Linked DNA regions of Sus scrofa. The protein of the gene in region 1 interacts with the protein of each later gene in a biochemical or structural test. Links are inferred from orthologs where the notes say so. Each region holds a gene or a part of one and is shown in the gene's direction. Other genes may lie near its edges.

The links.
Region 2: the proteins of EPS15 (region 1) and AP1G1 form a complex in vitro, tested with the Homo sapiens proteins (2 studies listed by BioGRID). The link is inferred for Sus scrofa from reciprocal best matches to the Homo sapiens genes EPS15 and AP1G1.
Region 3: the proteins of EPS15 (region 1) and SGIP1 form a complex in vitro, tested with the Homo sapiens proteins (2 studies listed by BioGRID, with this or other methods). The link is inferred for Sus scrofa from reciprocal best matches to the Homo sapiens genes EPS15 and SGIP1.

What each region holds. Positions count from the first base shown.
Region 1 is NC_010448.4:160,761,525-160,765,457, forward strand, and holds part of EPS15 (epidermal growth factor receptor substrate 15), read left to right. Parts: intron 1-242; coding exon 243-446; intron 447-2,497; coding exon 2,498-2,614; intron 2,615-2,761; coding exon 2,762-2,852; intron 2,853-3,933. UniProt on the Homo sapiens protein: Involved in cell growth regulation. May be involved in the regulation of mitogenic signals and control of cell proliferation. Involved in the internalization of ligand-inducible receptors of the receptor tyrosine kinase (RTK) type, in particular EGFR.
Region 2 is NC_010448.4:14,740,129-14,744,061, reverse strand, and holds part of AP1G1 (AP-1 complex subunit gamma-1), read left to right. Parts: intron 1-3,312; coding exon 3,313-3,435; intron 3,436-3,596; coding exon 3,597-3,686; intron 3,687-3,933. UniProt on the Homo sapiens protein: Subunit of clathrin-associated adaptor protein complex 1 that plays a role in protein sorting in the late-Golgi/trans-Golgi network (TGN) and/or endosomes.
Region 3 is NC_010448.4:145,894,429-145,898,361, reverse strand, and holds part of SGIP1 (SH3-containing GRB2-like protein 3-interacting protein 1), read left to right. Parts: intron 1-306; coding exon 307-807; intron 808-3,933.

The sequences.
Region 1 (3,933 bases):
ATTAAACTTCTTGGAGCTGTCAAAAGATGTACAAAAGCAAACCCCTATATACTGAAATTTCCAGAGGAAAGCTTACTGGGATGGATTACTGAAATTTTTTCTTTAAGTCATGCTGCATTTCCTGAGATTTCTCCTTAATGGAAGCAAATTTATTCTTGACCAAGTCTAAGCATATAGTTATTTTTATGTTACATGTCTTTCTAGTAATAAATTCTGTTTTGTATTATACTTTGTCTTGACAGTTACAAATGAAACTGATGGAAATGAAAGAACTGGAAAACAATAATAATCAATCAAATTGGTGCAGTAGCCCACACAGCATTCTTGTAAATGGCACTACAGATTATTGCAGCCTCAGCACCAGCAGCAGTGAAACAGCCAATCTTAATGAGCACGCTGAAGGCCAGAGCAACCTAGAGTCTGAGCCCATACATCAGGAGTCCCCAGTGAGTCTAATAGCTCCTTAACTTTCACAATCGTCTTCAGGAAAAAAACATTGACTCAGATCAAAGTTTTGTTGACATCATACCTAATATAAATATGTGACCTTGCTTCATCTGGGACAATTGAGATTTTTTTTTTTTGAGAGACAGAGAGTGGGTTCTCACAGTTTTACCTAATGTAAAAATGTAATTTTTAATGATCCATTTGTTACAGAGCATGTTTTCGAAACAGTGGTTCTATAGATAGTAACTTTTTAAAATAGTTTTTAAGTACTCTCACCCAAAGCTGCAAGTAATTCTCTATTTCATAATGTTGAGGACATTTATTTACTAATTATTTGGAGACTACCAGCTAATGCAAGTGTGCAGTAGTGTTAGCGTGAAAGCTGCAGAGAGAAAAGACCTTTAACCCTGTCAAGCATACAGCCTAGCTGTGTGTGTGACACCAGGTTAAAAGGCTATGAAAAAGTAAGCATAAGGTATTCAGGTAGAGCAGCTTAGAGGAGGCTCAGAGATGTTGGAAGGAAAGTTTTACATGTGACCTTTCAAGTGTGGAGGGGTTAACAAAGGAGAAGGTGGTACATTCCTCGCATAAGCATAGGTATGAGATGGGAAAAAATACACTGTACAAGGTCATGAGAAGCTGTCGGAGGATATTTTTTGCTAGTGGGAAGTGTATTGGTGGGAGATGAGGCTCTGGTACTTAAGCAGAATAGAGGTGTCTGTGACCCCCTCCAAACTTGTTGAACTATAGTGTCTGGGTTGGAGCCAAGTACATACATTTTAAAAACAAATTCTGTGGGTGATTATGATGTGTACCTGGATAAAAATGACCACTTTTAGGTCAGAAAGGGCCGGAGAGTAAGACATTTGGATTCATCTTGAAGCATTGGGGAATTTGTCTTATTACAGTGAGTAGCCATTGAATTTTTAAGCAAAAAGTGACAAGATTAAATTTACCTTTTAGAAAATGTGGATAACGGAGAGCAGGACTGGACACACAGGGATATATTGAGAGACTGTTGGAATGGTTTCTGTAAGAATTGTTTTAACCTAGACTTAACCAATTACAGGAGGGATGATGAGAAGAATACAAATTTCAGAGATATTAAGAATGGAAAATTAACAGACTTGATTTTATTTAGATACTGTAGTCTTGGATATATTACACGATATTCCTTTAAGTGCAAAATGCAAATTACTAAGTTATCCTTCTAAGATACAGGGTGTATGAAATGAACATTGCCCCTTCCACTTTTTTTTTGACCTTGCCTGCAGCATGGGGAAGTTCCTGGGCCACAGATTGTAGCCTTGCCACAACATTGACCTAAGCTGCTGCAGTGACAACCCCAGATCCTTAACCTGCTGCACCATAAGGGAACTCCATCCAGGCCACTTCTTAAGCCTTACTATCTACTGATCTAAATCCAGAAAGCAGTGGGAAGCCCCTTGAAGGACTTTAAACCAGAGGGTCAGGATCAGATTCACTTTTTAGATCTATTACTTTGCCTACTCTAAGAAGGATCAATGGAAGGACACATTAGAGGCAGGAAGGCAGTTGGAAGGTTATTACTACAGTAATCTGGACCAGAAATGATGATATGGTAAGTGGATGATAGTGACAGTAGGGAGAGGGAAGAGGGAAGGATTTGAGAACAAGGTAGGAGGTAGACTCAGCAAGACTTGGAATCTAGCTTGGGAACGACCAAAGGGAAGTAGTTAAGGAAGACCTGAAGTTTTCTGGCCTTGAAAATTTTTTTTTTCTGGCCTTTTGTTTTATTTTTATTAGAGTACAGTTGATTTACAGTGTTGTAATTTTATTTTAATTTTATTTTAATTTTTATTATGGTCGATTTACAGTGTTGTATGGCCTTGACCGACTTTGATGCTTGGTGATACCATTTTCCTAAGAAAGATTATATAGAGGCAGGCATTCGGTGAATAAGTTCTGTTTGTCTTTTTAAATTTTTTAGTAATTTTTGGCTATTTTTTGTCAGTTTCCTCTGCCAAGTAGAAAATACATTGTTAGTCCATGCAGAATTAATATTTTGTAGGCAAGAAGTAGTCCTGAAATACTGCCTTCTGGTGTGACTGATGAAAACGAAGTGGTGACTGCAACTGTTAATGAAAAAGTTTGTCCTGAATTTAATAGTGACGGACATTCAAAAGAGGTAAAATAATTTTATATGTAAATGTTCTTATCACTGGCTTCCCAAGATGGGTTTTGATACATTACTTTAGGCAACATGTTATTTTATTTTAAAATGTAAAAACTTTGGTTTCTAAAGCTTTTTTTTTTAATTTAAAATTATTTTCAGGAAGATCCATTTAATGTAGAATCAAGTTCACTGACAAATCCAGTTGCAGATTCAAACTTGGATTTTTTCCAGTCTGATCCTTTTGTTGGCAGTAAGTATTCTTATTTTTATATTATTGATTTATCAGAAAGGCTTTTTTGTTTCTGTTTTTGTTTTTGTTTTGTCTTTTTAGGGCCACACCTAAAAAGACCACACCATATGGAAGTTCTCAGGCTAAAGGTCAAATTCTAGCTGCAGCTGCCGGCCTACACCGCAGCCACAGCAACTTGGGATCCGAGCCACATCTGTGACCTACATCACAGCTCATGGCAATGCCGGATCCTTAACCCACTGAGTGAGGCTGGGGATCAAACCCACATCCTCATGGATACTAGTCAGGTTCGTTATCAGTGAGCCACAAGGGGAGCTCTCTATCAGAAAGGCTTAATTAATTAATGCATAAACTATGTAAGAATTAGGCTTTGAGAACCTACTTGTTAAAACAAAAGTAGAAGGGAGAATGAGGATTTATATGCTCAGATTTTAGTATTTGTCCTCTTTTAGGCAACTAAATCCCAGAACTAAGTCTTGGGTTATGTCTTAAGAACCCCTGATTAAGAGTATGCTTCTTTGTCAGAATAGGGGCCAAAAGAAAGAAAGGAAATTGGGCATTCTTAAGTCAACCAACAATTATTTACCAAAAGTGCCAACACCATGCTTTTAAAACAGTGGTTAGCAGCCCAAATTCCTACTCTTAAGGTGCCAACAGTCTTAACTGAAGAAACATAAGTTTAAAAAATTAAAATATCTGATGTCATTGTAAACTACATTAAGTACTACTTGTGTCAAAGCTCTTTTTGCTTTTTATTTATTTCCAAACTCACCTTGTGAAACTGATACCTCAGTTTTTATCAGTTCTAAAGATGAGAAACTGAGGCATATAAATAGAAGAATTTGCTTAGAGTCAAGACAGAAATGAGCCTAGAAATTAGAACTCTCTTTTTTTTTTTTTTTTTTTTTTCTTTTTTTGCCATTTCTTGAGCTGCTCCTGCGGCATGGCATGTGGAGGTTCCCAGGCTAGGGGCTGAATCGGAGCTGTAGCCACCAGCCTACACCACAGCTCACAGCAATGCCGGATTCTTAACCCACTGAGCAAGGCCAGGGATTGAACCTGCAACCTCATGGTTCCTAGT
Region 2 (3,933 bases), about 150 Mb from region 1:
TCTGGCGTTGCCATAAGCTGTGGTGTAGGTCACAGACATGGCTCAGATCTGGCGTTGCTGTCGCTGTGGTGTAGGCCGGCAGCTGTATCTCTGCTTAGACCCCTAGCCTGGGAACCTCCATATGCTGAGGGTGTAGCCCTAAAAAAGCAAAAGGCAAAAAAAAGAAAACAACTGTTTTTTTTTTCTTTTTTTTAAAAAGGCCAAATTTGACCACATGAAATTTTAAAACTTGTATAACAAAATAAAAAAAAAAATCTACAAAGTTGTTCGCGTTGTGGCTCATCTATAACCCATTGACGGAGGACAGAGATCAAACCTGAATGCTTGTGGATACTATTCAGATTCTTAACCCACTGAGCCACAATAGGAACTGCTTTGTGGGTTTAAATGGTGTCATCTTTCCAGAATACGGTTTGATAGTGTGTAGCAAAAGTCTTTGTTTATACCTTTTAATTTGTTAATTCTGTTTTTAGGACTTTGTCTTGGAAAAACAAAGGGACATGGTACAAAAATGTATATACAAAGGTGTTCATCCTAATATTATTTATACTAGGAGAAAATTGGAAACAGCTAGGAGTCTCCAGCTGGGCATGAGTTAAATAAATTATGAAACATCTGTAGGAGAGAATGTTATCGTTAACTGTTTAAAAATTTCAGTTAGGAGTTCCCATCGTGGCGCAGTGGTTAACGAATCCGACTAGGAACCATGAGGTTGCGGGTTCGATCCCTGCCCTTGCTCAGTGGGTTAAGGATCCGGTGTTGTGGTGAGCTGTGGTGTAGGTTGCAAACGCGGCTCGGATCCCGTGTTGCTGTGGCTCTGGTGTAGGCTGGCGGCTGCAGCTCCGATTGGACCCCTAGCCTGGGAACCTCCATGTGCTGTGGGAGCGGCCCAAGAAATGGCAAAAAGACAAAAAATAATAATAATAATAAAATAATAAAATTTTCAGTTAAATATTTTCTCTACAATGAGTTAATTTTGTAAAAGGTAATAAATGTACTTAATAATAAGGAACTATTTTTTAAAAGATAGGATGAATCAATCAGGACATATTTTTTAAAGGTTTTTTTGTTGTTGTTGTTATTTGCTTATTTATTTTTGACTTTTTAGGGCCAAACTTGTGGCATGTGGAGATTCACAGGCTAGGGGTCTAATCGGAGCTATAGCTGCTGGCCTATATCACAGCCATAGCAACGCCAGATGCAAGCTGCATCTGTGACCTACACCACAGCTCACAGCAATATTGGATCCTTAACCCACTGGGTGAGGCCAGGGATAGAACCTGTAACCTCATGGTTCCTAGTCAGATTCATTTCCGCTGCGCCACAACAGGAACTCCTAAAGGTTTTATGAGGCTCAAAAGAAGGGAAAAATTAGAACTCCTGAAGAAGAATGATTATGAAAATTAAAACCTTTTAAAACTAAGGAATGTTTAGTATTTGAGAATTCAGGGTCCTCGTTTTTCTAAACCCTCTTTTTAATATTTTGTCATACTTTAAAACATTTTTTTTTTAATTTTTAATTTTTTTTGACTGCACCTGTGGCATATGGAAGTTCTCTGGTCAAGCATCTCACCTGTGCCATAGCAGCAAACCTAGACACTGCAGTGACAGCACTGGATCCCTAACCTAATATGCCATCAGGAAACTCCCAAACCTCTTTTTTAAGAAAAATGCGCCAACTTTTTATTTGTCCAGTTGACTTAAGTTCTTTGATTATAATCATACGCTTTTTATTTTTTAGCCTGTTGATGTGCTAGGTTACAGTAATTGATTTTTTTTAAAAGTATTTATTAATTAAAGTACAGTTGACTTTAATTGAATTTCAAATACCAAAGCAGGTGTCCATACTTAGAATAAATCCTGCATGGTTGTACCATATAATTCTTTTTATACATTACTTTATTTGATTTGCTAATGTTTTTAAATTTTTTATAATTTTTAAATCTTTTTTGATTGCTCTTTTTCTTGTTTTTAATTTCTTTTTTAACTTTAAAATACTATTTATTTATTTATTTTTTGTCTTCTTAGGGCCACACCCATGGCATATGGAGGTTCCCAGGCTAGGGGTCTAATCATAGCTGTGGCTGCCTATGCCACAGCCACACCCATGCCAGATGTAGCCTTGTCTGCAAGCTCTACCACAGCTCATGGCAATGCCGGATCCTTAACCCACTGAGCAAGGCCAGGGATCAAATCTGCAACCTCATGGTTCCTAGTCGGATTTTTTTCCGTTGCGCCTAGACAGGAACTCCAAAATTTATTTTACTTATTTATTTATTTTTATTTTATTTAATTTTATTTTTTTGTCTTTTTTTTGCCATTTCTCGGGCTGCTCCCGTGGCATATGGAGGTTCCCAGGCTAGGGGTTGAATCAGAGCTGTAGCCACTGGCCTACTACACCAGAGCCACAGTAATGCGGGATCCAAGCCGCGTCTGCGACCTACACCACAGCTTATGGCAACGCCAGATCTTTAACCCACTGAGCAAGGGCAGGGATCAAAGCTAAAACCTCATGGTTCCTAGTCGGATTCGTTAACCACAGAGCCACGACGGGAACTCCTACTTACTTATTTATTGAAGGCTGCCCTGTGCCATATAGAAGTTACGCCACAGCCATGAAATGCCAGATCCAAGCCGTGTCTGCGACCTACACCACAGCTCATGACAACACCAAATCCTTAATCGACTGAGCGAAGCCAGGATTGAACCCACATCCTCATGGATACTAGTTGGGTTCATTACTGCTGAGCCACAATGGGAACGCCTCTTTTGTGTGTGTGTGTGTGTGTATGTGTGTGTGTGTGTGTGTCTTTTTAGGGTTGCACCCAAGGCATATGGAAGTTCCCAGGTTAGGTGGTCCAGTTAGAGCTATAGCCGCTGGCCTACGCCACAACCACAGCAGTGTGGGCTCCGAGCCGCATCTGCAGCCTACACCACAGCTCATGGTAATGCTGGATCCCTAATCCACTGAGCAAGGCCAGGGTTTGAACCTGCATCCTCATGGTTGCTAGTCAAATTCATTTCCACTGAGCCAGGATGGGAACTCCAGGAACACCTCTTGATATTTTCAACCTTTATATTTATTTTTACTTTGGACAGAGATTTTATTTCATTTTTTGTAAAATCAAACTTAGAATATTCACTTATGTAAGACTTTGAAGTTTGAGGTGTATAATTATGAGAATGAGAATTGGAAATAACTTTACCTTTGAGGGTGTTCTGTGTAGTCTCCTTTGAACAACCGCAGTACTAGCTAACATTTCTTATCATTACTGTATGTTTCTAAGGGTAACTGTCTGCATTTCCTTTTAGGCAGGGAGCTATGTTCGTGATGATGCAGTTCCCAACTTGATCCAGTTAATAACCAACAGTGTGGAGATGCATGCCTATACCGTCCAGCGCTTGTACAAAGCAATTCTTGGTGATTATTCTCAGGTAAGTACTTTTACTTTAGAGAGGAAATTCCTCTTTATTTTCCTGATATGCTCTTCTTACTATCACTCTAGATGTGCCTCAGTTTTGACCTTTATGATTAGATGACCTGCGATTTGTATTACACCTTTCAAGGACTGAAACCTTTGATTTTCTCTTGACAGCAACCTTTGGTGCAGGTGGCTGCATGGTGTATAGGTGAATATGGAGATCTTCTTGTATCTGGCCAATGTGAAGAGGAAGAGCCTATTCAGGTACCCTTTGTCACTCTTGGTTAAGGAAGTGGAAAAATAGTGGTTTTGGTCTTAAGAGGGTAGTGTTGGTTTTTTTGTGTCTTTTTAGGGCCGCACCAGGGGCAGATGGGTGTTCCCAGGCTAGGGGTCGAATTGGAGCTGTAGCTGCTGGCCTACACTACTGCCACAGCAATGCCAGATCTAAGCCAAGTCTTCACCTACACATCAGCTCATGGCAGCACCGGATCCTTAACCCACTGAACGAGGT
Region 3 (3,933 bases), about 15 Mb from region 1:
CTAGGAACCATGACGTTGCGGGTTTGATCCCTGGCCTTGCTCAGTGGGTTAAGGATCCGGCGTTGCTGTGGCTCTGGTGTAGGCCAATGGCTACAGCTCCGATTGGACCCCTAGCCTGGGAATCTCCATATGCCCTAGAAAAGGCAAAAAAAAAAAAAAAAAAAGAATTTTTCCATCATGAAGTCTGCCCACCTAGACACCTCAGGAGACAATCTATTTACCAGCCTTTGCCTCGCCCCTCCCACTTCCCCCACAAATAATTTTAACAAAGTAATTAAAGTTTAAAATCAACTACTTTAACCACAGGAAATGACCAGTCAGCCACAGAGGTCAAAATTGAAAAACTACCATCAATCAATGACTTGGACAGCATTTTTGGCCCAGTGTTGTCCCCCAAGTCTGTTGCTGTTAACGCTGAAGATAAGTGGGTCCAATTTTCTGACACATCCCCGGAACGTGTTACTCCAGAGTTGACTCCAAGGGAAAAGGTGGCGTCCCCACCAGCTGCATCAGACAACCCAGCCGACTCCCCAGCTCCCGGCCCCCCGGCTCCCCCTGGCCCGCCAGGCCCCCCAGGACCTCCGGGTCCGCCTCGCAATGTACCATCGCCGCTCAATTTAGAAGAGGTCCAGAAGAAAGTGGCCGAGCAGACCTTCATTAAAGATGATTACTTAGAAACAATCTCCTCTCCGAAAGATTTTGGGTTGGGACAGAGAGCAACGCCGCCTCCCCCACCCCCACCCACCTACAGGACTGTGGTTTCGTCGCCCGGACCCGGCTCGGGCAGTGGTACGGGGACCACCAGTGGTACGTCTTACTGTTTGCGTGTGCTTCGTGTGCCCGGGAATGGCCGTGGCTGCTGCCGTGTGAGCAACACCCTCCTCCTGCCTGGCCGCTGACTTTAGAGCTTCAGCCATCCCTCCTTTGGTGTGGGTGTCCTATGCCCGGTGGCATGTCCCAGTCCATCAAATGCTCGCAGTCATAGTGCAAGTCTGTGGATGTGTCCTGCCCTGTGCTCCCCGCCCTTAGGAGGGCGCTGCCTTCTGCCCTGCCATTAAGTGTATGTTTTTCAGAGAAACCTGCCATGTCATTGTTTAGAATTCAGGAAAGTTCTAGAAAGACAGGTTTCCTAGCGTGAGTTTCACGTTAAGTGTCTGATTTCCTCGTCAGAGGCCTCCCCAAGGGCCCTAGTGTTTTTCTGCTTTACTGAGGTGAAACTGACAAATAAAATTGTAAGATCTTTAAAGTGTACAATGTGATGATGTGATACACACAGACATTGTGGAAGGATTTTTCCCACCCAGTTAATTAGCAGCCCATCACGTCACATATTTACTTTTTTTTTTTTTTTGATGAGACTATTTAAGTTCTACTCTCAGCAAATTTCAATCATACGATACAGTGTTATCAACTGTAGTCACCTATCAACTGTAGTCACCACAGTTGATTACAGATCCTCAGACATTATTCAATTTATCATCGTATACATCTACGCTTGTATGTTTTTCAAGAGCCCTGTTTCTCTGTAGGTCAATGCGTTTCCTAATTTTTTCTGTGTTGCGTTTTTCTTATTGAGAGGGAACGGTGTTAACCCCTATCATTACTTCAGAGAAAAAGGAGGGTGTGAAAAGATTTTAGAGGATAGCAAAAAAAAAAGAATGCCTTACCGCATCCTCAGCCTCATCAAGCTGCTGCTGAAACAAACTGCTCTCTGATGTCGTCATCAACATGCTCATCAGCCTATGAGCTTAACTCCAAGTGTGGTGACAGATGATGGAGCAGGTCAACCAAAACGTACATCTGGGGACTCCACATGCAAACTTTGTTGTTGAATCTGATTTTTTTGGTTTTCCTTATTTGAAACTTCCTTTTGTGTTCTCTATGAAAGGATGATCTGCCATGTATACCAGGGAAAAGATCAAGATTTTTCTAATGTGTCTTCCATATCATTTATTCTACTGGTTCTCATGTTTGTCTGCCAACATCCTCCAATGCCCTCCCTCCTGTTCCTGTGGGTTTTGTTTAGATACCTTCCCAGCGGTGTCAAGAGCTATTTGTGTTTCATTTACTTTGAAAGAGGCGACCAAGTTTAAGTTATTTAGATCTAGTAAGAGACAGAAAGGAAAGGCTTTTGTCTCTAGGCTAATAGTTATCTCTGCTTCCACTTTCAATGGAGTATCTGTCAAGGCGTGTTCTTTGCTAATTGCCCTGTGCTCTAAAGTGAGAGCATGCAAGCCAATCAAGGAGGACTGGAGAGTCACCTGTACTGTAAACAAAACCAGTGTTTTATATCATTAGGTATTCCTGTGCCCAACCAAAAAGGGAAAACCACTCAATACTCAAACAAGTTTGGGAAACATTGTGTTAAAACAAAACCAGTCAGTTTCCTGACCCTGGGACACTCTGAGAGCCTTTATTTTGCCAATACGAACAATAGCTATAGTTTCTTATCCTGGCACCATGCATATCATTTCATCCTCACAACAACCCCATGAGGGAAATATTCTCAGTCACCACTTTTGCAGACACGAAAACCGAGGCTTATGGATGTTAAGTCATTTGACCACATTTACACAGCTAGAGATGATATATTTGGGATCCATTCTCCGGTCTGTCTTATCCCAAGCCTAGGTTCTTAACCACTACGCTCTCCAGACCCTCTTGCAAGGTTTAGTGACAAAACATCCCAAACTTATCTGAAACTGACACCCACCTCTACTGCCCAGTGTCATCAACAACATCACCAAAATTCTCTCCAAACCTATCCTCTGTGCTCCTTTCTATAATTCTGGAGGGTTAGAGCCTCCACCTCTACTGCTTTTTTAGCTCTTTGGGGGGATGTAAGTCTCCTTACTTATCTCTAAAGATAATAAATGACCATTAGGTAAAATTTTACGTTCAGACCTCAATCCCAAAGATGGTTGTCCACTGTCAAAGAGGGGTGTGTTTCCATCTTCTTGGATGGAATTCTTTTTTCTAGGCCATGCTCTGAGTTTTCTGAAATAACTTTTCAAAAAATAAAGCCCCCCTTTCCAATGGCCTGGCCACTCTGCTCTCCTCAAAGCAAGACTTTTAGTCAAGGGAGGGGTGAACAGGTCAGGACAGCTTTGTAATTCACCTCTCTCCTCCAGCACCTTCCACAAGGCTCTGGGAGGTGCTCGCTTCATTGCATTGGCTGACCACTGATCTAATGAGCGAAGACAGCTCTAGATTTCTTTCTGGAATCCTTGGGAGTTTTGTTATTGTTTTAATGTTTAGCTTCCCTATTCTTATTTAAAATCACTTTAAAATGTTACCCGTAAAGACTATTGATTCTTAATAATTGAGTTGGAAAAGAACTATACTTTGCTGGTATCAAAGGATTGAATTTCTAAATGGAAGACAGAACTGGGCCAATGAAGCTCATGAATAAATAAAACTTTGCACCTTTATCTCCTTAATTAAGTCCCAGTTTATTTGCTCGTTAATCTTTTATTGATGAAATATACGCAGACTGGGAGAAATGTAAATTTAGGCTTAAACGAGTAGGATGTAATCTCTGGTTTTAAAGAGTAGCAATGCTTATCCCCACCTGCTTTTTTGTAGCACTTAGCCTGATGGGAATAACTTTCCCTATCCTTCTCAAACTCTGTTTAATTGGATACCATTGTGCCTACTTTTAAAATTTCATTCACAGCAAGATGACTGTCACAGATCGAGTGTCAACAGCACTAACAGCCTGGTGAATCAGGAGAGTTACCTGTTGTTGAGAAAGTTGCAAGTTAAGAATTTGCTCCAAGAACTTTAATTTTCCTGATGGCAAAATTTAAAAATACATAGTTTGGCCAGAATATTGCTTTACTGGAAGGCAGACACTGATTCTTGGCAAAGGCCATCTCTTCTGTGTGGGCTGTGTGCCCAGGGGAGGAGATGCAGAAGGTGTTTTATTGGCCT